Sus scrofa: one gene and its partners. The protein of the gene in region 7 interacts with the protein of the main gene of each other region in a pairwise test. Links are inferred from orthologs where the notes say so. Each region holds a gene or a part of one and is shown on either strand. Other genes may lie near its edges.

What was found.
Region 1: the proteins of MAGED1 (region 7) and BHLHE40 interact in binary tests that used the Homo sapiens proteins (3 or more experiments, as listed by UniProt). The two-hybrid records come from large-scale screens. The link is inferred for Sus scrofa from reciprocal best matches to the Homo sapiens genes MAGED1 and BHLHE40.
Region 2: the proteins of MAGED1 (region 7) and TTC23 interact in binary tests that used the Homo sapiens proteins (3 or more experiments, as listed by UniProt). The two-hybrid records come from large-scale screens. The link is inferred for Sus scrofa from reciprocal best matches to the Homo sapiens genes MAGED1 and TTC23.
Region 3: the proteins of MAGED1 (region 7) and RBFOX2 interact in binary tests that used the Homo sapiens proteins (3 or more experiments, as listed by UniProt). The two-hybrid records come from large-scale screens. The link is inferred for Sus scrofa from reciprocal best matches to the Homo sapiens genes MAGED1 and RBFOX2.
Region 4: the proteins of MAGED1 (region 7) and TFG interact in binary tests that used the Homo sapiens proteins (3 or more experiments, as listed by UniProt). The two-hybrid records come from large-scale screens. The link is inferred for Sus scrofa from reciprocal best matches to the Homo sapiens genes MAGED1 and TFG.
Region 5: the proteins of MAGED1 (region 7) and CA8 interact in binary tests that used the Homo sapiens proteins (3 or more experiments, as listed by UniProt). The two-hybrid records come from large-scale screens. The link is inferred for Sus scrofa from reciprocal best matches to the Homo sapiens genes MAGED1 and CA8.
Region 6: the proteins of MAGED1 (region 7) and KPNA2 interact in binary tests that used the Homo sapiens proteins (3 or more experiments, as listed by UniProt). The two-hybrid records come from large-scale screens. The link is inferred for Sus scrofa from reciprocal best matches to the Homo sapiens genes MAGED1 and KPNA2.

The regions. Positions count from the first base shown.
Region 1 is NC_010455.5:61,531,012-61,533,585, reverse strand, and holds the end of BHLHE40 (class E basic helix-loop-helix protein 40), read right to left. Parts: intron 2,260-2,574; coding exon 1,403-2,259; 3' UTR 501-1,402; downstream 1-500. UniProt on the Homo sapiens protein: Transcriptional repressor involved in the regulation of the circadian rhythm by negatively regulating the activity of the clock genes and clock-controlled genes.
Region 2 is NC_010443.5:137,994,402-137,998,422, forward strand, and holds the start of TTC23 (tetratricopeptide repeat protein 23), read right to left. Parts: upstream 2,801-4,021; 5' UTR 2,572-2,800; exon of another isoform or gene 2,355-2,571; intron 1-2,354. UniProt on the Homo sapiens protein: Participates positively in the ciliary Hedgehog (Hh) signaling.
Region 3 is NC_010447.5:11,807,716-11,811,949, forward strand, and holds the start of RBFOX2 (RNA binding protein, fox-1 homolog (C. elegans) 2), read left to right. Parts: upstream 1-1,434; 5' UTR 1,435-1,673; coding exon 1,674-1,700; intron 1,701-4,234. UniProt on the Homo sapiens protein: RNA-binding protein that regulates alternative splicing events by binding to 5'-UGCAUGU-3' elements. Prevents binding of U2AF2 to the 3'-splice site.
Region 4 is NC_010455.5:158,302,903-158,306,402, forward strand, and holds part of TFG (protein TFG), read right to left. Parts: intron 3,142-3,500; coding exon 2,974-3,141; intron 1-2,973. UniProt on the Homo sapiens protein: Plays a role in the normal dynamic function of the endoplasmic reticulum (ER) and its associated microtubules. Required for secretory cargo traffic from the endoplasmic reticulum to the Golgi apparatus.
Region 5 is NC_010446.5:73,110,367-73,113,866, reverse strand, and holds part of CA8 (carbonic anhydrase-related protein), read right to left. Parts: intron 2,946-3,500; coding exon 2,897-2,945; intron 1,309-2,896; coding exon 1,196-1,308; intron 1-1,195. UniProt on the Homo sapiens protein: Does not have a carbonic anhydrase catalytic activity.
Region 6 is NC_010454.4:14,289,592-14,293,091, reverse strand, and holds part of KPNA2 (importin subunit alpha-1), read right to left. Parts: intron 3,132-3,500; coding exon 3,043-3,131; intron 1,972-3,042; coding exon 1,703-1,971; intron 1,466-1,702; coding exon 1,371-1,465; intron 1,273-1,370; coding exon 1,009-1,272; intron 826-1,008; coding exon 592-825; intron 372-591; coding exon 189-371; intron 1-188.
Region 7 is NC_010461.5:45,321,335-45,325,338, forward strand, and holds the start of MAGED1 (melanoma-associated antigen D1), read left to right. Parts: upstream 1-1,204; 5' UTR 1,205-1,336; intron 1,337-1,875; 5' UTR 1,876-1,904; coding exon 1,905-1,949; intron 1,950-2,650; coding exon 2,651-3,376; intron 3,377-4,004. UniProt on the Homo sapiens protein: Involved in the apoptotic response after nerve growth factor (NGF) binding in neuronal cells. Inhibits cell cycle progression, and facilitates NGFR-mediated apoptosis. May act as a regulator of the function of DLX family members.

The DNA of each region.
Region 1 (2,574 bases), on a different chromosome or scaffold from region 7:
AGGCTTCAAAATATAAACACTGTACCTCTCCCTCAGAAAAAAAAAATTATTCTTCTCTTCAAAAACAGGAATACATTCATTTTCCCTCACTTTTGTAGATCAAGTAATTATACAAATAAACATCTGAAACACTTTCCTTTTCAATATATTTATATAATATATATATATTTATAACAGTTTTACAAATAAAGGCAACAACTTTATACCAAAATAAAAACAGGAAAATAAAAAGTTAAAACACGGTCAGCGATCAAGCATAGTGCATTTCAAAAAGCTGGTGCAGGGCTAGCTGGACAAGTCAGAAAAGTACTCTGGACCAAAAATAAAATTTCTTTGAAGGAGACAGAATCCTTTTTAGCAATAAGGACACTCCATATGCCGTCGGGTAAGGGGAATTAGCCTGCAGAAAGGATCTTGCTATGCCAAGGGTTGGTTAGTCCTTAAGGAAGCTAAGCCTGGTTAAAAGGAGCTTGAGGGTAGAGCTGACAACCGAGTCTAGCTTCGCTTGTGGAAACAGTAATTTATTACTCAGCTTTTTATGCACTTTGGGGTTCTGGGAACTTAGGCGCTTGCATCTCTCTAACCCTGCTTTGATTCCCTGGACAGCAAGACCGTTTTCTCAGTAAGACTAAAAACAGATGCCTGAGGCCCAGGGTGGCTTCTCCCTCCTTCCCTGGCAGTTGGGCTTGTACCAGGGGGCCTTTTTCAGTTCCTTAGGAAGCTAATCGCTATGAAAGCCTGAGTAGGGAACTACATTCTCTTTATTCATCCAGGCAGGGGTGGGGAGCAGTCCTGTGGAAATCTCCCCAAACCGCTACCATGCTATGCCAGTGTCTGCTACTTCACCACTTTGCAGAAAGTTCAGTCTGGCTGCCCTCTCCCCATATGGTGAGTCACGGTGACAATGAAAGGGAGAAGGGTGGGGTCAGAAGAGCTGGCTGAGAACCGCACTCTGGAAAGCCCTCTTTTGAAAGTACCTTTTTCTCAAAGCCACAGACCTGGCTCCCAAAGTAAAGACTGACTCACAGACCAAGACTTTGAAGCTTTTGAAACTCCAGCTGATTTGTAGCAGAGGGGGATAGTCTCTGGGTGGGGAAAAGCCCAGAGACGTACTACCATCCCCCCAAATCACCTGATGTCAGAATGTCAGGTACTCCTTCACATCCTCCCGATGCCAAAAAGAGCTCTAATGTCCCATACCAACACATGATGCATGTGCACACGAGTGTGTGCATATGCACGCGCACACACACACACTCCTGAATCTTTTCTTCCTGACACTGATAAACCTGGCATACACACTGGAACAGTCTTGCTGTACTCACAGACACTGTTTTTATGGGGTTTTTTGGGGGGGAAGTAGGGTGGAAGGAAAGCACAACAGCAGTACCCCCTAAATAGTTTAGTCTTTGGTTTCTAAGTTTAAAGGGGGGATCTGCTTCAGAGCTTGGAGCAGGGCAGAAGAGTCGATGGCCGGGTGGGGTGGCAAGGGAGAAGGGAGTCTCTGGGGCATGAGCAAGGGGGCTGTGATCTTGTCTGGGTTCATGAAGCTGGTGAGGGCTGCAGCAGAGGCGTTGAGGCCTGGGTATAACACTGGGACGGAAGTGGGATACCAGCACTTCTCCAGCATAGGCAAGTAGGCAGTTGCTGATGGTGGGATCAGATAAAAGGGCAGGCAAAAAGGAGGCTGGTGTGGGTGTGGACCCAGGAATGGGGAGCTGATCAGGTCACTGCTAGTGAAATGGCCTTCATCATCTGAGAGTTGCATCCTGCTCTTTTTCGTGGGGGGTTCTTCGGATTCTTGCTTAATAGCACTGATCCTTTCTCCCATGGTGAACCTGCGTCCATGATCACTTTTGAAGTATGGCTGCTCGACCCGCAGCTCGCTCTTCTCTGATTCTCCTCCGTACCCACTGTCTGTGTCTGTGTCACTGCCACTCTGCTCACCACTTGAGTGAGGGAAAGTCCGCTGGATGACTGGCACACAGTTTTTGCCTGGGCCTTCAGAGCCTTTGGCCAGGGAGCTGGGTTTCTCCTTGAAGTCCATCACTTTGGGAGCTGGGTCTGCTGGCTTCCTGGAGGTACCACCTTGCAGGAGCTCGGAGACCACGCGGTGGAGGTGGGTAACCAGCTGCGAAGATTTCAGGTCCCGAGTATTCTCATGCTTGGCCAAGTACTGAAGCACCTCCCGGGCACAGGTCTGGAAACCTGAGCAGAACATCTCTTGACCTGCTTCGACATTTCTCCCCGACAGATCACCTGGATCAACACAGATCCAAAGGAAAACATTTCAGAAGGCCCTGTGGTTTACCTGCATACCTATATGACAAAGACTAGGAGCTTCCATTTTTGTTAATAGCATTTACTGCTTTATGTTCCTAACTCTAAAAGTAATATGATCAGAGAAATCTGGGTTACACTGAAAAGATAAAATAAAAATCATCTATAATCCTACCACTCAGAGATAACATATATTTTGTAATGGATATATAATATTCCATCATAGAAACAGACCATAATTAATAGAAACAGACTATTTCCCCTATTGTTGAATTTATAGGTTGTGCTTGCTTT
Region 2 (4,021 bases), on a different chromosome or scaffold from region 7:
TACACCAACAGGAGTCATGGTAGACTAGCAGAGACTGAAAAATCGTGGGCAGGCTTTTCACCACCACTGCCGGTAAATGACACACCTCCCTTCTGCTAACATTTCACTCGCTCTCTAACCACAAAGAGGGGGATATTCAGGGGAGTGAATGAAATATTTGATGAGCATTGCAATCTGCCACATTTATCATTAAGGGGCCTGTCTTAGGATTCTTTTACAAGGGCTAGAGACAACCTCCTTCTCCATCTATTTGATTAAGGACCACTGATCAGGAATTTAGGAACTTCAGATTCTTTCAAGCAAGTTTTGAGGTAGGAGGCAAATACCCTGCTTGGTATCCCTGAAGCACTTTGCTTTTTGGGGAGGAGATGACCCCTGATTAACCTTTGTTTGCTCAACACTGAAGCTACCTTCTGATACATGGTAGAAGCTCACTGAGTGGCCAGTTGTGTCTCAAAGACACAGGTCAGGTGAAAGCCTACAGTCTGAGTAAGAACACCTCCCATCTTCCCATGGTGTTCTTCAGTCACAAGTTTTTGGTTTTTGGTTGAAATTCCTCCAATTTCATTAAACAGAACCAAGAAACACTACAAATTCTGAGGGAACAGGAGCAAGAACCAATGCAATGTGAACAATCACTTTTATTGCTTTACTGCACCATGACGAACGCCACATATAATAAAAATTGTATCTGTAGTGCTATACAAAAACAATAAGCTCACTGCTTCAGAAGAATAGAAAGAAATGCATCAAGATTTATCCTATTCAGTCATGTGAAAGTATATGGAAAAAAAGTCTCAAGAGACTGCTACCAATTTGCGCTCCATCATTTATAGTATTTAGTCCCTTAGCTTCCAGTCTCTGTTGCTGGAATCATCTTAAGCTGCAATGTCAGATCTTTTTTTCTTTTTATGTTTTTGGCTATGCTCATGGCATGTGGAAATTCTCAGGCCAGGGATGAAACCTGCACCACAGCAGCAACCTTAACCACAACAACCCTTAAGCCACTGAGCCAGCAGAGAACCCTGCAATGTCAGTTTTATCATTCTCAAATATGACCTTTAAAACCCAGGACCCGGAGTTCCTGTTGCAGCTCAGCAGAAACGAATCTGAATAGCATCCATGAGGACGCAGGTTGGATCCCTTGCCCTGCTCAGTGGGTTAAGGATTCAGCATTGCTGTGAGCTGTGGTATAGGTTGCAGATGTGGCTCAGATCCTGTGTTGCTGTGGTTGTGGTGTAAGGTCAGCAGCTACAGCTCTGATTTGACCCCTACCCTGGGAACCTCCATATGCTGTGGGTATGGCCCTAAAAAGACAAAAAACAAAACAAAAACAAAAACAAAAACAAAAAACAATGACCCAGGACTTGACTCCTTAATTCTTGCAATTTTGACTCTTCATGTAACTTCTTAACCTTTTTTTTTTTTTTTTTAAATCTAAAGTCCCCAAATGAACATTCTGCTGTGTCAGGGATAATTATTCTTTAGCTGGACATATTTGCTAACAAATCCCCCACTACCTGGGATGCCATTTCTTTCCTCTTCCATCTATTGAAATTTTGCCCATTGCTCAAGCTCCAAATGGGTCTTAACCCTACTTTGAAACTCTCCCTGAATATTTCTGCTCACACTGATCTGAGCACCTGAAGCAGCTATGGTCTGTAACAGCCATCTATGCATCAAGAACTATACAAAAGTTTTCATTTAAATCTTTTTTGAGTCTCTTTCTAGAGTATGAGCTCCTTAAGAATATATTTTATTTAATAGCCCCATATATAGATTAACAGAGGACCCTTAAGAAATATTTACTGCATACCTGAGTTGGGCCTTATAAAGGTAAAGATGTGCCACCAGGTATTATATTTACTAGCTGAATCTTGAAGAATCTTCAAGATGTTATATTTTGGAATTACATATTGGCTGGATTCTTTAAAAAGTTGCTATTTCAAATATATATTTTAATATACATTATTCTCATTTATCAATATTTTCCTGAACATTTATATTTTAGCTTTAGTAAAAATATCATTTTTGAAAATATAAATGCTAGATTTCACTTTTGAGAATTTATCCTTACATCCACTACCTATTGATTCTGTTTCATATACCAATATTATATTTTCCTTGGTCATTAGCCGATCTGACCCTGCTACAAATGTAAACAAAACCCAATTCCAAAGATGATAATTTTGTCATATCCTTTAACAGATGGATTGTCTATTATGCTAGGTTTTAAACAAAAATATCCATTTTGCTTGATAATTACAATAACATTAAGACATTAAATCCATATTAAAGCAACAACAAAATACAGCTTCTTGGAGTATAAAATAATCTATAATTAACCGTATTACCTTGGTCCTTTTATCATTCAAAAATCCACTGCTAATCCCAGGATAACATTTTCTCTAAAGAGAAAAATAGCCTCTGAAAATCTTTCTCCCTGCCACTCTGACATTATGGCTGTATTTTATCTGCTTTTCCTTTGACAGTCTCCTTTAAAACTAGCAAAAAAAAAAAAAAAAAAATCAGAATAGTTTATTTAACTCTGTAGAATCCTTTGTCAGTTACCCTGTGTGCCTTGAGAGGTTGTCCGTTTCTTTTTCCATTGAATTACACTGTTGACTCGGCAGCCTGATTTTCCAGATTGGTCCACGCTGTATCGGTTTGGTGATTTTTTGTAAGGATTGATAACTATGAAAGAGTCTAAAAATAGGGCAGTTCCAGACTAAATTGGAACAGTCTTTTCCCGTAAAGCAATCTGGTATCTCACAAAATTCCAAGAAGAATGAATGACAGAGCACGCACCAATAGGAAGTGGAGAAAAGTATTTTGTCTAAGTTTACTACCCAATCCTTGGGAGCCAGAGGTGGGAATTTTAAAATAGGGTTGTCCTTTCCTTGGAATTTTCTTAAAGTGGTATCCCCTCCTGTTGAAGTCTGCCAAAGATTGCCAAATCACTAATTCTAAATTAGAGAATTTTTCCTCCGTTTTGAGTTAGGCAAAGTGTAAACTTGGCACTTGACAAATTTAGAGAATTTTAAGAGAATCACATGGCTACTTTTGTGTCTATTTCAAAGGGCAGAAGTTATTTCAAGATAATTCATTTTTTCATGATCAAATATAAGTTAATGTACTTAAATATTTCATTTTTAGAGAAAGGCAAACTAAGAGGCTAACACTGCTTTTAAAAAATTGGTCTAGCTATAGTTAATCTTTTTTGTCTGTATGACTCTTCAATATTAGGAGCAAATCATATTATTTGGGTTGATCTTAAACATCCTAAAGATTTTTGTTTTTACACAAACTGTAGGTTTTCTCATTTTAAGTCTAGTAAAAAGTTCAAGTACAAGTTCTTAAGTATTTACAAATCTGTATAAAAGGTCTTAGAAGTACATGACATACACCATGCATATACTTTAGAAAACTCTGAAGACTAGTTTACTAAATAGATAATTGCTAGTATTGCATTATAACTCATACCTTTTTTGGGATAGGTGTTATTTTTATTTAATATAACTGCTTTTCAGGCTACTTAATCTCTAACGGAAATTATATAAACCAACGTAAATCTATAAAGTCAAAGCTGTTTGACAATGAACCGCTAGATAATCAACGTTAGGCTTTCCAAAGAGGTTACCCTCTTTTCAATAGTACGTGTGTCATAGGACAGCTTTGAGAGTTAAGTGAAATAATCTAGCGCAGCTCTTAGAACGCTGCCTGGTACACAGTAAACGACTGGGTGTTAAAGTTGCTGTAATGCACAGAATTACATTAGAGGACTAGTGAGTCAGTGACAGTACGAATGAAAGAAGAGATCAGTTACTGGCGGTTCCCGAGGTTGGAGCCGGCCAAATCACCCCCACAAAACCCTAAGCCAAAAGCCAAATGCGAGAGCAACCCCTAACACCGGAGCCGGAAGCAAAGGCCGAGTGGGGCGCGGGGCAGGCTTGGAGAAGGCCCTTTTTTCAGCGAATAGGCATGTCTCTTGGAAAACGGGCATCTTATCCCACCTATTGCA
Region 3 (4,234 bases), on a different chromosome or scaffold from region 7:
ATATTGGCACTGGGCCAACCAACATTATTATACCACACACTAAAAGCCAAACAGTCCTCATTGAGACAGCAAAAAAATGATGTCTTCTCAGTGTGATTTGTGATTTTTAATTTTGATTTTTTTATGTGTTTACTTTTTAAATAGGCATCTTAATCTAGAATTAATTTCTTTGCTCTTTGGGTACTCTACTAGGGATTATAACATAATAAATATAGCATAACTAAGAAATGTAATAAAACCTTCAGGATTTTATTTCTTAGAATACTAAAAAAAAATGAGAGCATCTTTATGTTTGAGAAGAACATCATAAACTCATCAAACATTCCCATAGGTTACTTTGTTTGAATATTTAATAACAGAAAATAGGGAGATTATGATGCTTATATTCAGAGGTTAAAGACTTTTCCAAGATCACTTATAAAGGGGAGAATTAGGACTTTGACCAGGACTTTTGGACTGAATCATACCTTTGATGCTTTTTTTCATTACGACTTTTTACTAAGAGAACTTAGAAGAAACTCTTATATTCAGTGAACATTCTCCCAAACCTTCTGCATCTAATAAGCACTCTAGAGTAACGGTCAGTAGTTACAGTAATGGCACAAATGTCATGGTATATATGTCAGTGTCTGTAAGAAAGGGTTTATGTTTTTCAGTAGCAGCTGAGATGCAGAAGGCTGGGGAACACAAAGGGCACATTCTGAGTTAACTACAGTTTTTAATAAAGCTGGAAGCCTTGAGCAGTCCAATTTGTATCCACCTTAAGTTTCTTAAGCAATCACCTTTTTCAGATCCCCCTGATTTTTTTTTACAGTAGAAAAAATAAGCTCTTAAATTACCTCCCTTCTTTTTCAGTCCTTTGCAGCCATTAGACTGGTTTAGGACAAGCAGGTTCTTGCATATTTCCATTCCTTGAAAACCTTCCAGTCACGGAGCAGCTTTTCTCATCTTTTATTAAATCCACTGCATCTGTAGACTGTACATCAGTGGAAATGTTTTTTTAAAAATAATTTCTCTTTCATTTATTTATTATCAGATATTCTTAGATGGAATATTTTAAATCTGTATTAACTGTGGTAAGCTGCCGTGAATACTTCCTGTGTATATAATTAATGCCACCATCGCAGATACTCACTCCTTAAAATATGCCTGCACATGGCGCCTGCCCTTCCCTCTCTCCCCCTCCTTCCCTCCTCCTCCCTCTCTCCTCCCTCTCTCTCTCTCTCTCTCTCTCACTCACACACACACACACACACACACACACACACCACGCACGCACGCGCAAAGCACACACCAAACTGCCATTCTCCAGCAGGCCTGTTTCTGGAGTTGGGAGATGTCAGCCTGCGGGGAGGGGGCGGGGGGAGGAGGAAGAGGTGGGGCTCTACTCTGATTAATTACCTTCGGCATTCAGGGGTGGGGCTTCCTTCAGCCATCTGCCTGAGATATGGGAGGGAGCTGGAGAAAGGAGGAGGGGGAGAGACTGCCAGAGAGGAAGAGAAAAGAAAGGAAGAAACACTAGAAAGAAAAAGGAAGGAAAACGGGATAGAGGGAGAGCAACCGCCCACCCTTAAAGAGCTAGGCTGGGGGGGGAGGGGGGAGGAAGGAGAGCCGTGGAAGGTGTGCCCCAGCACGACTGCTCTGAAGTGTTCATCTTCTGTGCCATTCGGTTTATGGAGAAGAAGAAAATGGTAACTCAGGTAAGATTTGTGTTTCCTCCTGTGTTTCTTTTCTTGTTTCTGAGATCTAAATAAAGATATGGGGGTGGGGCATAGTCACCAGAGTTTTAATTTATTAACCTTTTAGAAAGGGACAGAATTATTGCTAGCAGCTGAAAAGTGTTCGTCTGTGCCTGTCGTGAGTCGTGTGTGTGTGTGTGTTGTGTCCGTATCCTTTTTTCTCCCCCCCTCCCCAGCTCCGTAGCAGATTCCTGTTTCCTGTGCTGTGCAGCTGGAGCTCAGTTAAGACCCTGTGGGGATTGGTCTACCTCTTTGTCTTGGTTCTGAGGAGAGGGAGGGAGGGAGGGACCACAGAGGTAGGGAGAGATTCTTGTAGACTGCCAAAAAGAGGGCAAGGGAGCTCACTTCCTTTTAAGAATTGCAGAAGAATTTGCGTTAGAGGGAAATCTCATTCCGGATTCACTTCGGGTTCTCGGGATTGGCTGTGGAATTGTAGTTCTGCTCCCTTTGCTTTAAATGGCTTATTAAAAATGAAGGCTGGAAAAATGTTTCATTTTCGTGTCTTTGTTACTGGCAGAGGATGTTTTCAGTGAGAGCCGTAGCATCCAGGTGCAGCAGAGCCCTCCCTGGCAGAAGAACAAGTCTGAATGTATAAATGACAGTCCACGGGCATTAAAAGACATCTGAAGGAGAGGGAGTAGGAAATGAAAGCGCGCTCTCTCTCTGTCTGTCTCTGCCTGTCTTTGGCTATGCCAGGCAATAGCTGCATTTTAGCAAGTCATTCCTGACAGATGGAAAGGTGAATATTCTTCCCTGATTTCCCCCGGCAGTGCTCTTTTTCTTCTTGGCAACCTTCTGTATGTCCCTTTATGCTTTTTTCTTTATATGTGGGTTGAGAGACTGATTTATCAATGAGGATTATTTGCATTGTGGCACATTCATGTCATTTAAGCTCAGACTTAGGATCAGTTTCACTCCAGGCTTTTATGCTCTGTAGGGAAATTTCATCACTGGACAGTGGTTTTCCTTTTAAGGAGGTTGCCTTTTTTTTTTTTTTTTTTTTTTTTTTTTTTTTTTTAATATTCTCTTGTCTCGTTTCTTAAGTCACCACCGGAGGGCGAGAGAGTCAGCTGGCTATCTGGGTAGAGCATCATTTTAGGAGCTGGAACCCTGTCCAGTTAAATGTTATATAATGCCCCGCAGTGCTGTTTGGAAGGAGGTAAGGCGTTAGGGAGATTTTCCCAATGTGACCTAGAGGAAAGGGAAGTTTCAAAGAATAATATCTTTCCAAAGTCAGTTTTTTTTGTTTTAGCAGTTGCTCTTCCACTTTCTTATCCCTTCATCGTTAGCCTGATTAACTCGTTAATCAAAACATTGCTCTGCCTTTTAAAAAAGAGAAAACGTGTTTCTGGCTTGTCTTTGTTGCTTGGGAGACAATACTTCTTAACCCGGGAGCCCACATCCAGCTTTCCTTAACTGCCATATTAGAGGGTACAAGCGCTCTTTCTCAGCTACTACCAAAGCCTTTTCAACTACTTAACTTTCCATTATAGATGTTTTTAAATCAGTGAAAGAGTTATCTAAGCTAGGACTTTTTAGAATCAGAGGCTTTCCATGGCCTGTTGGAGCATTTCCCCTGAGTTCTAGAAGAGCAAGTGTGTACAAGCCCAAGTTAGGGTGCACAAGCATTTGCACACCTAGTATTGTGCGCTTAATAATCAGTATTGAAGGAAACTATAATTTTAGGAACGAAGCAGAAGAGATAAGTAGGAACTGGGAAGAGGGATTTCTTTTTTTTTTTTTTGGTGGTTAAGAATTCTAGTAGATTAAAATCATGATTTTCTCAGTGCGTGTGAAGGCTGAAGAAGTAACTCATTTTTGCCTATGCTGAATTTATACAAAGTATAGAACATCAATTTGTGAATTTTCACTATGCCAGCATGTTTGTTTTTTGTATACACTTTCTATGTTAATGTAACATACATAGTTGATAGTAATCTAGAGGGGGAAAAATCAAAGGAAATAACCCATAGGCCAGATTTTTATTTGTCCAGGTGATAGGCACGTGGGTTCAAGTCCCAGTCTGAGTTCTGGCTGGGTTCAAGTCATAGTGTTGTCAGTTTTGCTATGGATTTTTTTCTGAGGAGGGGTTATCCTATTTGTTGTTGAAAGGGAAAGTGTACTAGGCCTAAAGGGGTTTCTTTGGTTTTTGTTTTTCTGAGCCAGACCTCAAATCCCACGATTTGGTAATGATATGTCACATAAGCTTTCTGAATAGAAATTATCTGCAGTGTTTAGGGTTCAGTTATCAAAATTAAACAGTCTATTGGGGTCTTTAGTGTCTTAACTAGTATATTAGGAAAAGTATTTAGCTATCTTTTCACTCTTTTGTCACCGGGTTCCTTTCTTTAACACCTCTCTCTGTCCTGTACTATCCATCGCTTACTCGGTGCCAGAAGGTGAAGGACCTTCAGCAGATGACGTTCTTGTCACACAGTTAGGTGCACACTGTGCAGGCTTTACTATGTAGGCTCTGGTTTTATGAGGCTGGGTTT
Region 4 (3,500 bases), on a different chromosome or scaffold from region 7:
TACCACCATTATACTGATATTTATCAACATGTAGACAAATAAATACATACAGACACATCCCTCCTAAGAAGGACAACAAAGATAATACAAAAACACTATGGTATTATCATAAAAATATATATATTACTTTGATTCCTCTTTTCTGTCTTGTATGTAAGCTATTAGTTAATGTTGCTCATTCTGTCATAATACTCCATCCCTCCTCCTTCCCATGTCCACATTCACTACTGCAGCCAAGTTTTTCACCACATCATAACCTAAGTGACTACAAAGTATCCTGGCATTTTCTATGTGTACAGTCTTCCTTACTTCAGTTCAACATACAAAGCTACCAGAAAAAGTCTTCAAATATAATGTGAATCATATTATTCTAGTCTATACCATATTCTAATGAAAACTTTTAAGCCTGACCTTATATATAACTATTTTATTTACTCTTCTATCTGCCATATCTTGAAGTCTTAAATATTAAGAAGCTATAATATTAACTTATTTCAATTGTTCTAAATGTGTGTTTTTCAGATGGACTGTCTTATCTTTTTTTTTTTGTTTTTTTTTTGTCTTTTCTAGGGCTGCACCTGCGGCATATGAAATTCCCAGGCTAGGGGTCTAATCGGCTACACCACAGCCACAGCAACGCAGGATCCAAGCAAAGTCTGCAACCTACACCACAGCTCACAGCAATGTCGGATCCTTAACCCATTGAGGGAGACCAGGGATTGAACCCACAACCTCATGGTTCCTAGTTGGATTTGTCAACCACTGAGCCACAACAGGAACTCCAGGACTGTCTTATCTTGGTATCTTACTCCACCACGAACATACGTCATATACAATTATCTGTCTTAACTCAGAGTTTCACACAATTCTCTTTAATAAATAATCCCATAAAAGTCTCAAAAAGAAAGAAAATTAATAGACAAAATCCTATTTTTCCAGTTACTGACAATGACAAACTGCTCAGGTAAAACCTCCCACAAGTAACAACTTAAAAACCTGGATAAAATACAATAAAACAGCTATTTGATTACTGGAGGTTAACAAAATGTCAGAAGACACCAGAAAAGAGTTTACCCCCACTGGACTTATAATGGCTAAAAATTGCAAACCCCAACCTCTGCAGCTCCAATAGCAGAAAGCCACAGAGCAAGCAGATAGGAATTTGAAGGGGAAAAATCCTTTGGTAGGGAAGTCACTGAAGGAATGAGACCTAAAATTTGAGTATAAGCTCAGCCCCAAGTTCCCAAGTGACCGTGCAGTTAGGCGGGGAGAGAGTGACACCCTCGAGGGCATAGAAGAAAAGGCAGCACCTAGAACTGAAAGGACTGAGCAGAGCTATCAGCTTCTATAATCCCCTGGGGAAAAAGAAGTAGTCTGAGTAAATGTAAGTCAACTCCCTACTAGAGCAACAGTAACAAAAAATCCTCACAAGAACCTAAAAGAATCCCAAGTCTTTGATGAAATAGCTCAGTGGAGAGAGCATTATGCTGAAGAATTCCAAGTCACTACAACAACAACCACAATATCCAGTTTACAGTCAAAAACTATTAGGAGTTCCCCTGTGGTGTAGTGGGTTAAGGATCCAGCATTGTCAATGCAGTGGCCTGGGTGGCTGCTGTGGTATAAGTTCAATCCCTGGCCTTGGAACTTCCAGGTGTCTCAGGCTTGGCCAAAAAACAAACTCCAAAAAACAAACAAAAAACCATCAGACATGCAAACAAATAAGAATGTGACCCATACTCAAGGGAAAAGGCAAGCAAAAGAAAGTGACTTCAAATAGGCCCAGATGCTGGACGCAGCAAATGTTTCAAAGCAGCTTTATAAATATTTTTTATAGAGAATTAAACAAAAATATCTTCAATGAATTAAAGGGAAATACAATCTTAATGAATGAAAAGATAAGGAATCAAAGGAGAAAAATAAAATTATAAAAGAACCATATGGAAATTCTAAAGCTAAAAGAACAATAATTGAGATGAAAAATTCACTAGAAAGGTTCAACAGCAGATTGGAAATGGAAGGAAAAAATCAGTGACCTTGAGGGAGATCAATAGGAATCATCCGATCTGAAGAACAAAGAATGAAGAAAAATGAATCTCAGAAACCCATGGGACAATACTAAGCTCCCCAATGTATGTGTAACTGAAATCCCCAAAGAAGAAGGCAGTAAAAATGCTGGCCAAAATATAAAAAGAAAGCACAGTATAGATGCTGTTTTAAGGTTAAAAACATTCACATAAAAGGACTTTCTACACTAAAACAATCTAATCAGAAATCTACTTTTAAATTTCCCTAATTTGGGAGTTCCCGTCGTGGTTCAGTGGTTAACGAACCCGACTAGCATCCATGAGGACACGGGTTCAATCCCTGGCCTCGCTCAGTGGGTTAAGGATCCAGCATTGCCGTGGCTGTGGTATAGGCCACAGACACGGTTCGGATCCCATGTTGCTGTGGCTGTGGTGTAGGCCGGTGGCTACATCTCCAATTTGACCCCTGGCCTGGGAACGTCCATATGCCATGGGTGCAGCACTAAAAAGACAAACGACAAAATAAAATAAAATAAATTTTCCTAATTTAAGATCAGAAGAGAATAAAACATCAAATATAACTTAAATCTGGCAATAAATCTGAAGACTATAAAATGACTCAGATTTTTAAAATAACATACCCCCTGAATTCTACTTTTAATACAATGTACCTAAACTGTGTACAAAGGTTATTCTCTAAAGAGGAGGAGGGTTCTACTGACTGGGAGAGAGCATGAGAAAGCTTTCCAAGGTGCTGGAAACCACCTACATCTTGATCAAGTTGGTGTTTTTTATAGGTGTATACATATGTAAAACATTTATACAACTGCCTTTAAGATCTAAGCACTTCACCATATCCAAGTTATCTTCTATTTAAGAAGGAAAGAAGGAATGGGAGGGAAAGACGGAGAAAGGAAATAAAGGATGGAGGAAGGCACTAACTTACCTGAAACCTGATCATCTGTTAGGCCAAATGCTGACATGACATTTTTATTGATTTCATCTTGGTTTTTTAAAGGATCAAAAGCTGACATACTTGCTGCCATCACCTGAGTAGACTGTTTTCCAGAAGAATCAGAAGCAGCAGGCTTTTCTTCCCTACCATCCACAGTATCTATAAAAGGAATAAGCAAAAACTTGTTTCCATTTTATCTATACTTAATAAGGCCTAAAATATACAGAACAGGAAAACACTTATGTGCATATAGTCTGGAAGGTTGAGAGTATCTCTGAATACAGGATTATAATTTCATTTCTTTGTACTTGTTTATATTTTTGTTTGTAAAATCAGGAAAAAAGGCCAGTAAGAAATTCAGGATAAATAATAGCCTTTTCAAAAATTATACCTATGTCCTTCCCTAAGAACTGTCAGATAAGGGGGAAAAAAAATACAAGCTCCTTTACAAACAGAAACATTTTACCCTTTTTTGGAGCCCTATAACCCATACCCTAGTAGCAGACACATACTGTGCA
Region 5 (3,500 bases), on a different chromosome or scaffold from region 7:
AAATGGCTGAATCTCATCCAGGTGCCTTTCCTATGTGATCCCAGGCTGCGCATGCCATACCAAGGCACTGTCCTCATGAAATTATTGGGTTTTAAATGTGAACCTATTGCCTTCCCCCCCCCACGGTGAATTCTAGGAGGTCAGGGGTACGTCTTATTTGTTCTCCACCATCAATGCCTACTATGGTATCTTATACATACTAAATGTCAAGTAATCACCAAATGAATCAATGCATGAAATAATAAATTACCAGCTCAGTCTCAAAGGAGTAATATCACATGTTAACATTAGCCCACGTCAAGGATTAAAAAAAAAAAAAAATAGGACTACGACATAGATTGTTATTATATCCAGTAAATACTGTGTATTAACAGAGTCAATGACATTTAAAGGCCAGGAAATGTATCTCCAGCATCATAAAACATATTGTACATTAAAACTCAGTGCTTTGGGAATGCTTAGTCATCTAAGATTGTACACCACCTGCAGACTCACAGACATAGAGAATAGACTTGTGGGACCTTTTTTTTTGGAGTGGGGAGGGCACGAGAGCATTGGACTGGAAGTTTGGAACTAGCAGATACAAACTATTATATATAGAAGGATAAACAAGGTCCTACTGCATAGCACAAGGAACTATGTTCAATATCTAGTAATAAACCATAAGAGAAAAGAAAAAAAAATCCCCCTTGAGTTCTTTCACACCCCTTCCGGCTGGCTACAGGCCCACATGTAAGGCAAATCCAGAACTTTCCAGGGCATTCCAGAAGTTCTCCCTCACCCTCTGCATACAGAACCTTCCTGTGTAAGCCAAGGAAGAACTATTACAAAGCTCGAGTGTGGCTTGCAGAAATAACTGGCATTCTCACTTTACCTCCATTTCTCCTCTCCAATGCCTGGGAAAATCCATATAAAGGAAAAACTAGACGAATCAGAAGTCTGACTGTTTCAGTGACTTCTATTTACTCTATAAAAACTGACTTCTAACACCACAGATTGGGTATTATTGGCTATTTACTGGGTTTTGTTCATCCTTGACCTTTCAAATTGCTTTCACTGGTTCAAGGCACTGGACTTTCATCTGAAAAGGTGTGACTGCTCTAACTGACCCAAAGGGAGCCTGAGCATAAGCAGATGCTGCCCCTTCCCAGAAACGACATTTGACCTTCCTTCTGGAAGAACGCACTGCACTCACCTGTAGCTGGGATATCGTCAAAGGGTATCGGAATAATATCCAGGTCACACCTTCACTGCAAGGCGGGATAGTGAGGGAGCCTTCGTAAACCCAGTAATCCCGCAGCAGAGGATCTGTGCAAACCAACCACAGGGTATGTCATGGGAAGGCAAGGTAATTGAAAAAAATTTTGAAGATTCCAACCATTCTCAAAATTACAAACTGTCCAAATAACAGGCTGATGCCATTTTTAAACTAGAACCTCGCATATGTATTTTTAAACTGATCATAAGGAGAAAATAATCAGTAGAAAACATGGTGAATGCTCTTTCTATTATTTACAGTGATTTCTATCAATTAATTATATACACGCTTAACTATGACTATACAAACGGAATATACATAAACTTGATATACTATGTGATATATATACACACTTGATGTATATTTTATATATCAAGTTTGCTCACTTGAGGAGAAGTATATCCACAGTTTGGGGGGTTTTTTACCTTATTGGAGGATTTACCTGACTGATTGTACCTAATATTTACTGAATGTTTACTACATGTGAAATGCTCTTCTAAACATTTTACATTAATTAGTGAGATCGGTCCTTTTATTAGCCCCATTTCTCTGATGGGGAAACTGACTCACAGAGGATTATGTTATATGCCCAAGACCTCTGGGCTAACCAAAGCAGTCTGGTTTCAGAGTCTGTGTATTTAAATGACCTTTGAAAAAGTTGAGTTAAAATAAATATCCCTGTAAAATGCAACAAGAACAACAACTCAATAATCTGTAACTTCTGGAATTTAAAGTAAGAGATTGTGTGAATTCTTCCTGGGTGTGATAATTAGAGCCTTTGGGTCTTTTAAGAATGCTAAATCCTATGTCTAATTTTTTAAATAAAAACAAGAGACAAAAAAAAAAAAGAATCTACGTGTATAACCATTCTGGTCTAACTACCTCTATATTCTTCCTCAACAGAGAAACATTAAAATCATATTATAATAGAATAAAAGAAATCATTCTTATGAAACCTTTTAGCTCTCCGTGAGAGGAATTTGTGATTAAACATGATGGGCAAATATTCAACATATGGCAAAAACTGGTTCATTGTAGAGCAATTAAATGTAAAAAGGAGAAGATATAATGCATTCGGTTTCGTTTGGAACCCTAACAATTTTCACATAATTTAAGCAGAGAAGTGTGAAGATCATAATTTTATCCAAAACAACCTCTATCTAAAAAGTATACTCTGAGTATTTTGTACATACCTCTTACCTGTTCGGACATACCTAAGTATTTAGAATAAGAGCTAAAGAGCATGACTGCAAAGAGGTTATCTTTTAAAATTAGATATAAAGTTTATTTCATGCCAGAGATTAGTAAGAACTTCGCTGGCCAATCTTAGATGCACAACAAGGTTAAGTTATTATACTCGTGCTTTACACAGAGGTCATCACTTGCACAAATGAAAATACAAAGGAAACACTTTTGAAAATACAAACACAACACAATGGAGCTAGTGGCAAAGTATTTATTATATCAAAAGGTTTACTGCCAGGTTTAGAGAAATCTGAAATTGGTGCCAGATACAGAGAATATCAATAGTAGAGACACTTTATTAGCTAATAAGATATAGCTGTATATATCCTGAGGGTAACAAAGCAGTCATCTTCACAGTTCAAATTCATCTTACGCAGCCAGATGAACGCTTACCTGGTAATAAAGTGTTAGGATTAAAGCAGGGTATTGTTTTGGACTTCCCCTGAAAAAGAAAACAATGTACCCCCACATTAACATAAAATCTCTAAGTTTTAGAACAAAAAAAGTCATTAGCACTAAAAATCCAGGTTGCAGTCTTTCCTGACTGGCACCAGCAGACCCCATAGATTTGAGAATGTGTCCATGTGTCGTCTCACTGGAGCAACAGGGGCCGCTGGTTCCAGTAAGATACTCCTGCTCTCAGTCTGTAGCACTGTCTTTATGACCACCTCTCAATTTTCCCTAGAATCCCCAGTGTGAAACTGCAAACTGTCCAGTGTTTGTCTGTCCCAAGTCAGCTACCTTTCCTGCTCCTGGCACCTCCAGACCAGAGACGCCGGCCCTCGTTCAGGAAGTCTTTTGAGATGACTTTCCTCCTGGTTCTGTGATCTCTGTTCCCAACCTGCTTGTATGACAAGCTGCCTCCGAGTTCTCATTGTGCCCCATTTGGATGTGGTAACTCAGCTCTAAAATCCATCCTAGATGCTCTCCTGCTCCAGGGAAGAACTGCCAGTCAAATGAAAAGGTCGAATTTCCATACACATTTATCAGAACGAGA
Region 6 (3,500 bases), on a different chromosome or scaffold from region 7:
CAGCTCCAATTCGACCCCTAGCCTAAGAACCTCCATATGCCACCGGTGCGGCCCTAAAAAAAGACCAAAAAACAAAAAAAACCCACCAAACCTCTAGTGTCATCACTTTTGAGGCTAAGCTTTGATCCCTGACCTGTGAATTTCTGCATGCCAAGGGTGTGGCCAAAAAAAAAAAAAAGGCAACTTACCTGAAAGATATTAGAAATGGCATCCAGAATAACCAGGATAATTTTGGTATCTTTTGCAGTTAAGAGGTTCATCAATGGTTCTATTATGCCACAGTGGACAAGGTACACGATCTGTTCAACTGTTCCACCACTTGTGTAATTGGTCACAGCCCATACAGCTTCCTTTTGTGTCTTAAAGTCTGCCTAATAAACACAAGAAAACAGGTGTATTTCAGAATGGGCATAAAAATAAGATTCCAAAAGTACTCTTTTAGAAAAATAGTGACTAAAACTACCATCTGACTATTATTTAGCAAAAGACTATAAGTAGGACCTAACATTAGTACATTAAGAACCTTATGAAGTACAGTTCTACCAAGTGGCCTCTGGAAGCAATCCTTTATGAAGGCCTAAGGCTTCTTACCTTCGAGAGAACGCCAACAAGGAATGGGACCAATCCATGATTTACAACTTGCTGTATCTGGTCCTGGCGACCAGCTGTAATATTTGACATTGTCCACGTAGCCTCCTTCTGAATATTTGTTTTGGAGTTTGTTAGCAGGCTGGGAAAGACGGCGAGTGCTCCTGCATCTATGACAACCTGCGTCTGTTCATCTGTGCCAGTGACAATGTTTCCTATTGCTCTTAGTGCAGGAGTCTGGAAAGGGAAAAATGCTGATGTTGCTGGTTATCCTTCATCGTTTCTACCACTGCTCGAAGTCGCTACACCCTAAAAGTCTGGACAAGAGGCTCATTGTGGCCTAAAATAGGTAGTATGTCAATATTAGTACTGACTGATTATGCTCTTCATACTTTATTTCTCATTTGAAAATTAACTTACCACAATCGGCAGTTCAGTGGCTCCTAAAAGCTTCACAAGTTGGGGTACGACCCCTGTCTTCACAACCATTTCAATCCGTTCATTTGGACCATCGGTAAGGTAGGAAATAGCCCAGCAGGTATCTGCTAAAACTTCTGGATCATCGTGATGTAGGAGACGAACTAAAGTAGGAAGAATTTGCTCAACAGCATCTAAGGGGGGTGCAGGATTCTTGTTGCGACAAAGGTTTGAAAGTGTCCAGGTAAGATTACGTAAGTAACCACACTGGGGGAAAAGAAAAATGCAATGAAGTTCTCCATTTTTTGAGGGGGTGGGCAAAATCAGAATCAACAAGTAACTTGACTTATGGTTAAGTAACTTACTGCTAATGATGACATATCAGGAACCGCGAGAAGAGCCAACAGCGGGTCAACCGCACCGTACTTGATAACCAAGTCTCGGAAAACGGAACCATCCCCTTAAAAAAAATTTAAAAAGGCAAGGTTAATCATAACTACTTGTCTAGCACCATCAATTTCACTGACTGAGTACCAGTGTCTTGATACAAGGAAACACTCAGATAGTTCCTAAAATAAATAAATGACACTTTTACCTCTTATAAGCACTGGAAGCAAGTTCAATCCCTAACTCAAAGGCACTTCAACCAACCTCAGTATTAGAGACATTCAGTCAAAAGAACTTGAAATCCAAGTACCTGCGATGTTTCCGAGAGCCCACACAGCTTGTTCACTGATGTGAGCATGGGGAGATGCCAACAGAGAAATGAATGCTGGGATAGCACCTCCATCTACAACAGCCTTGGTCTGTTCTGATGTTCCAGAGGCAATGTTAGTGAGGGCCCAAGCAGACTCAAACTGAATGGGACTACAATCCATTCTGCCCAGGAAGGACACAAATTTTGGAATCAAACCAGCCCGGATTATGTTGTCTATGGGAGGCTGTTTTTCCCTAGAAAGCAGTTTCCTAAGGGTAAATAAAAGGAGAAACAAAAGATGAAGGTAATTAACAAAATAGGTTTGAGTGAAAAACAATTTAAAATGTAACTCAGGAGTTCAGAGCATTAGACAACCTTTTACAGTAAAGCACTAAGTGCTGAGATATCCTAAAATTTAAGAGGACCTCAACAGACTGGTTGCATGGTGCTATTATATGTGATGTCTTAAATTACCTTTTTCCCCCATACTGAAATACTACCAATAATGTAGAACCCTTCTCGATGCATCCCTGCAGAAATCTACTTTAGGTCTTGTCACTTTTAAAAAATTGACAATCTGGGAGTTCCTGTTGTGGCATAGTGGAAACGAATCCGACTAGGAATCATGAGGTTTCAGGTTCAATCCCTGGCCTCGCTCAGTAGGTTAAGGATCCAGCGTTGCCGTGAGCTGTGGTGTAGGTCGCAGATGCAGCTCAGATCCAGTGTTTCTGTGGCTCTGGTGTAGGCCGGTGGCTACAAGCCCTGATTAGACCCCTAGCCTGGGAACCTCCATATGCCACAGGTGTGGCCCTAAAAAGACCAAAAACAAAAAACAAAAAAAATCCAAAAAAAACTAACAATCTGATAGCATTACACTCTCATTTAACATTTTTCCATGATCATCTGTCAACTAGATTTGCTTTTCTGCACACTGTCAAGCCAGAGATTATTAATCCTTGCTAAAATGGATGTCAAAACTATTTGTCTACAGAGATAAGAGTCTAAAAATATACTTATTTCCTAAATGGGTGGACCAATCCCACTTACTGAATAATTCCTTCTTCCCTGACACTGACTTAAAATGCCATGTTGATAAAAACTTTGTAATTTTCTTAAATATACACCAAAAAGCTAATAATCATTATCAGTGGAGGTGCATGGAGTCTTTGGCAATTACTGAAATCTTTAAATTCTCTCAAGGGAAGATTCTAATGAAAACAGGCCTATGCATGGCTTAACTTTGACTTTACCCAAACCACCTCTTTCCCACCAAAAAAAAAAAAAAAAAAAAAAATCTAAAAATCTAAAAAGGCTATCCATGCTATAGAGACAAGGCTTACCTAGCAGCTTGAGTAGCCTGGAGCTGGCTTTCCAAATTGTTGCTATTTATGCCTTTGACAATGTCATCGACAGACCAATTTACGGTGCCCTAAGAGAACAGTGGAATTAATTTTGCAAACTATCATTTTTTTAAGATTAACTACAAACAGTAAAATCCCTACCAGCAATGTGTAAACTGTTCTAACAGCTATGAAAAGTTTAGCCTACATTTTTTTTTCTTTGGCCATACCCACATGTGGAAGTTCCTGGGCCAGGGACTGAACCCACACTGCAGTTGCCACCTGCCTCATAGCTGCAGCAATGCTGGATCCTCAAGCTGCTGCACCACAGGGGAACTTCTGAATCCTACATTTAAATCTGCCTAATTAAATGTTCATTATTTAATATGTAGAACAGTTGTCAAACTTGGTGTCATGATTCAATGAAGTCTCAAGTAATGAGAGTACCCCCAGCAAAC
Region 7 (4,004 bases):
TCAGGGGTAGGGCGTTTGTGCCTCTCACAATGAAGGGGCCTGACGGCCGGAGCAGGGAGTGGACCCCAATGAGCAATTCCCATATCTGGATGGACCCACAGAGCAGGAGGGCGGGGAGTGGGAGGGGGCGGGGCGGAGGAAGAGCTGGGACCTCTATCTGTTTCCTCCTAAATTGAGAGCATGAGCTTAAGTCTCAGGGAACACTAACCTTGTCTGTTTGGGACAGATGTTGACAGGGCAGGAGGTGGGATAGATCTGTTGCTTAAACTGATAAAAGGAGGGTGCTTCAGTCCCTGGGCCAGCGCCGGTGGATCGTGGGTTTTAGGGTCTGGAAGACCCAGGACAGGACCACATTTTGCTTTCTCTGTTTACTGGCTTTGTGGCTTTGTCTAGTTCATGCAATATGTTTGTACCTCAGCGTCTTTATCTGTAAAATGGAGATGCTGACATCCACCTCCCAGGGCTGCTGTAAGAAGAAAACAAGCCCCAGCATAGATCGTGCTGTGAAGTACAAACTGTGCCCTTCCCTCCCCTCCTCCCCACCTCCCCACCTTCCCACCTCCACACACAAAATAAATAGCTGGAGCTGCACAAAGGGCAGGAAAGAAGCTAATGTTTATGAGTCTGGGATCTGTTGAGGAGGGGGGTGGAAATCATGGAGTCACGTGGCAGGCACAGACTCTACCTCTAATAATGTATCCTCTGGCCGTTCCTTTTCCTGGGTCCCTAAGTGGATGTGCTTATTTTTAGCCCGAGCCAAACACTTGTAGCAGTTAGAGCCCCCCTACAGAGACCTCCTTAATAGTGACCTAAGTGCTGCTAGACTAGGGGGTGGAGATGCATGCCGACCTGACAGGAGGGGCCGTGCGAGGGGAGGGATAGAACAGAGACGCATTGCGGAAAAGGTAGGGGGCCAGTGTGTGGGGCAAGGGGTGGGATCTAGAGGCACTGCGAATCTGTTTGGGGGAGGGGATATAGAGAAAGGGGAGGGATCGCTGTATACTGTCGACCTGGTTGGTGGTGGGGTGGTGTGTTGGCAAAGGGGCGGGATTGCCTCCCACTGCACATGCGCACCTTAGTCTTCAGGACGAAGCTTTTGTTGGGAAAGCAGGCGGGACTCTTATTTGGTCGGTCAGTTCTTGCGCATGCGTACAACCATCTGAGGCGGTGGGTGGTATATTAGGCGAAGAGGCGGGGTCGTCCTAGCTGCCGCGCTGGCATTTTCTCCTGGACAAGGAGAGGGTGCGGCTGCTGAGAGCCGAGCACTGCAATCCCGATCCTCTGAGTCGTGAAGAAGGGAGGCAACGAGGGGGTTGGGGTTGGGGCCTGAGGCAAGGTGAGAATTAGCCCCCAGACAGGGCATCTGCCCCCTGGTGCGGGCCCCCCATTTTTCATCCCAATCCCTTTACCCCGGATTCTGATCCTTCTTCCACTCCCCGAACCCTAATTCACACCCCTCACCCGATCCTCCCTTATTCAGAATCCCTGTTTGCTCTCTGAGCCCCTCCCATCGTTCAGAATTTACAGATTTCTCGACCTCAATCTGTACTGTTATATGATTCCTCCTGATTCGGAAACTCCATTCAGTTTCCCATATGCGAATCCCAGTGCTATCCGCCTGGATTCAGAACTCTTAAATCGGTTTTCCAAACCCCGATTTGAAGCTTCTCCCCGTCGTAGCTTCTAGGGATTCAGAACATCCATCCGGACACCCATTCACTTTTCCCACTCCGATCTGGCCCGTTCCCCTCACATTCAGCACCTCATCCGCCCCCACAATCAAACCTCAAACACCACCGTCTCCCCACATTCATTCCTTCCCATTTACCCTCTGTAGTGTAACGCCTAACTCCTCCCCCACACCCCCCTCCCCAGGCTCTGCTCTTGCCAGAGGGACAAGAACCATGGCTCAGAAAATGGACTGTGGTGCGGGCCTCCTCGGCTTCCAGGTGAGATCTCCACTCCCCACCCCACCATTTCCCCAGCCGACAGTTTCCCCCTTCCCGGGCCCCTTTGGCTATCCAAACGCCTGGATCAGATTGTGCCTTCTTGGTGCCTGGATTCCTTCATTTTTCAAATTCCCATGGTTTATGGGGGAGGGGGCGTCCCTTTCAGCCATCAGTCCCTGCTCAGAGAAAGGGGAGACCCTGTTAGTAGTCAGGGCAATCTGCCCAGAGAATGCGGGTTGGGTAAGGAACCATTTTTTTCCATAGTCCTGATGCTTGTAGAGCTCTTTGCCGCCCCCTCCCCCAGCCTCCTCCACCCTCCCTTCCTCCTGCATTCCCCACCCCTTGCGACCCCCTTATTCTCCTCAACTCCTCCAGGCGGCACTCTTGCTCCACCTCCTCCTGCTCCTGAGCTCCTACCTCACACTGCAATGTTCTGCTCTAACCTCACTCCCAGATCAGCACCTGCCTTCCACTTTGCCCCCCTCACCTCATCGCCGCCCGCCCCATGTTTAACCTCTGCCCCACTCAGCCCCTCTCACACGTTCTGTTATCACTTCATTCCTCTCAGGCCTCTAGATCTCTGCCTCAGCCTTCCTCTCTTTGCACCAGCCGCCCCCCCTGCACCTCCTCTGAGCTACTCCCCCGCTCCCAACCCCACTTTGTGAGGCCCAGAGATTTATTTTTTCCCCTTGTATTTGCAGGCTGAGGCCTCTGTAGAAGACAGCACCTTGCTTATGCAGACCCTGATGGAGGCCATCCAGATCTCGGAGGCTCCACCTACCAACCAGGCCACAGCAGCTGCCAGTGGGCCAAATGCTAGTCCTCAGAGTTCACAGCCCCCATCTGCCAATGAGGTGGCTGATATTCAGGCTTTAGCAGCTGCCACTAAGCCTAAGACAGCCTTTAAGGCCCAGAATGCCACCACAAAAGGCCCAAATGCTGCCTATGATTTCTCTCAGGCTCTTAATGCCAAGGAGATTCCCAGCACACCACCTACGGTAGCCTTTAAGGCCCCAAATGCCCCCTCAAAGGGCCCAAATGCTGCCTATGATTTTTCCCAGGCAGCAACCACCAGTGAGTTAACTGCCAAACCTGAGATGGCCTTTAAGGCCCAGAATGCCACTACGAAGGTGGGCCCAAATGCCACTTACAATTTCTCTCCATCTCTCAATGCCAATGAGATGGTCAACACTCAGCCTAAGACAGCCTTCAAGGCTTGGAATGATACCACTAAAGCCCCAACAGCTGAAACCCAGACCCAGAATATTAACCAGGCCAAGATGGCCACTTCCCAGGCTGACATAGAGGCTGACCCAGGACCAGGTATCTGTGAATCTGATGGTGCAGCTGCACAGACATCAGCAGATGGCTCCCAGGCTCAGAATCTGGAATCCAGGACTATAATTCGGGGCAAGAGGACCCGAAAGGTGAGATCCCTGCTAGTTCCACTTTGCTTTGGGCCTCTCCTTTCTTCTGTGAGGTTGTTCATTTGTTCTAAAACAAAACAATATATAGCTGCCTGTATTCAGCTAGGTTGTAGGGGATGATAAGATGTATGTGATAATTCCTGTCCTCTGAGTGTCCACGGACTAATGGGGAGATGAGACATGGACATGTAATATATCCAGTCTGCATGTAATTCCTTGTGTATTTTGATAGTAGCCATCATGTGTTAGGTCTTGGCCTAGGCACATTCACACAGGTTATCTCACGCACTAAATCTTCAAGATGCTTCATACCGGCTGGGGTCATAGTTTCAGTTTTACAGGGAAGGAAACTAGTTTCCAGAGAGGTGAAGTGACTTGAGTGATTTGTCCAGGGTGGTACAAGCAGAGCCAGTGGTGAACATAGGAAGAGGAGAAGCTTCAGGCCCCACCCTTGGGTTGCTCCTGGCCTGGTTCAGAGATGAAACTCCTGCCTGGAAGACAGTGAAAGACAAGCCCAGGACTCAGGGTGACCATTGGCTAGTGGGTCAGGCTGTCACTACAGGTGAGGGTTTTAGGGGGCCTTCCTGGAATAGATAGGGCAAGGACATAGAAACAGTTGGTGACTCTG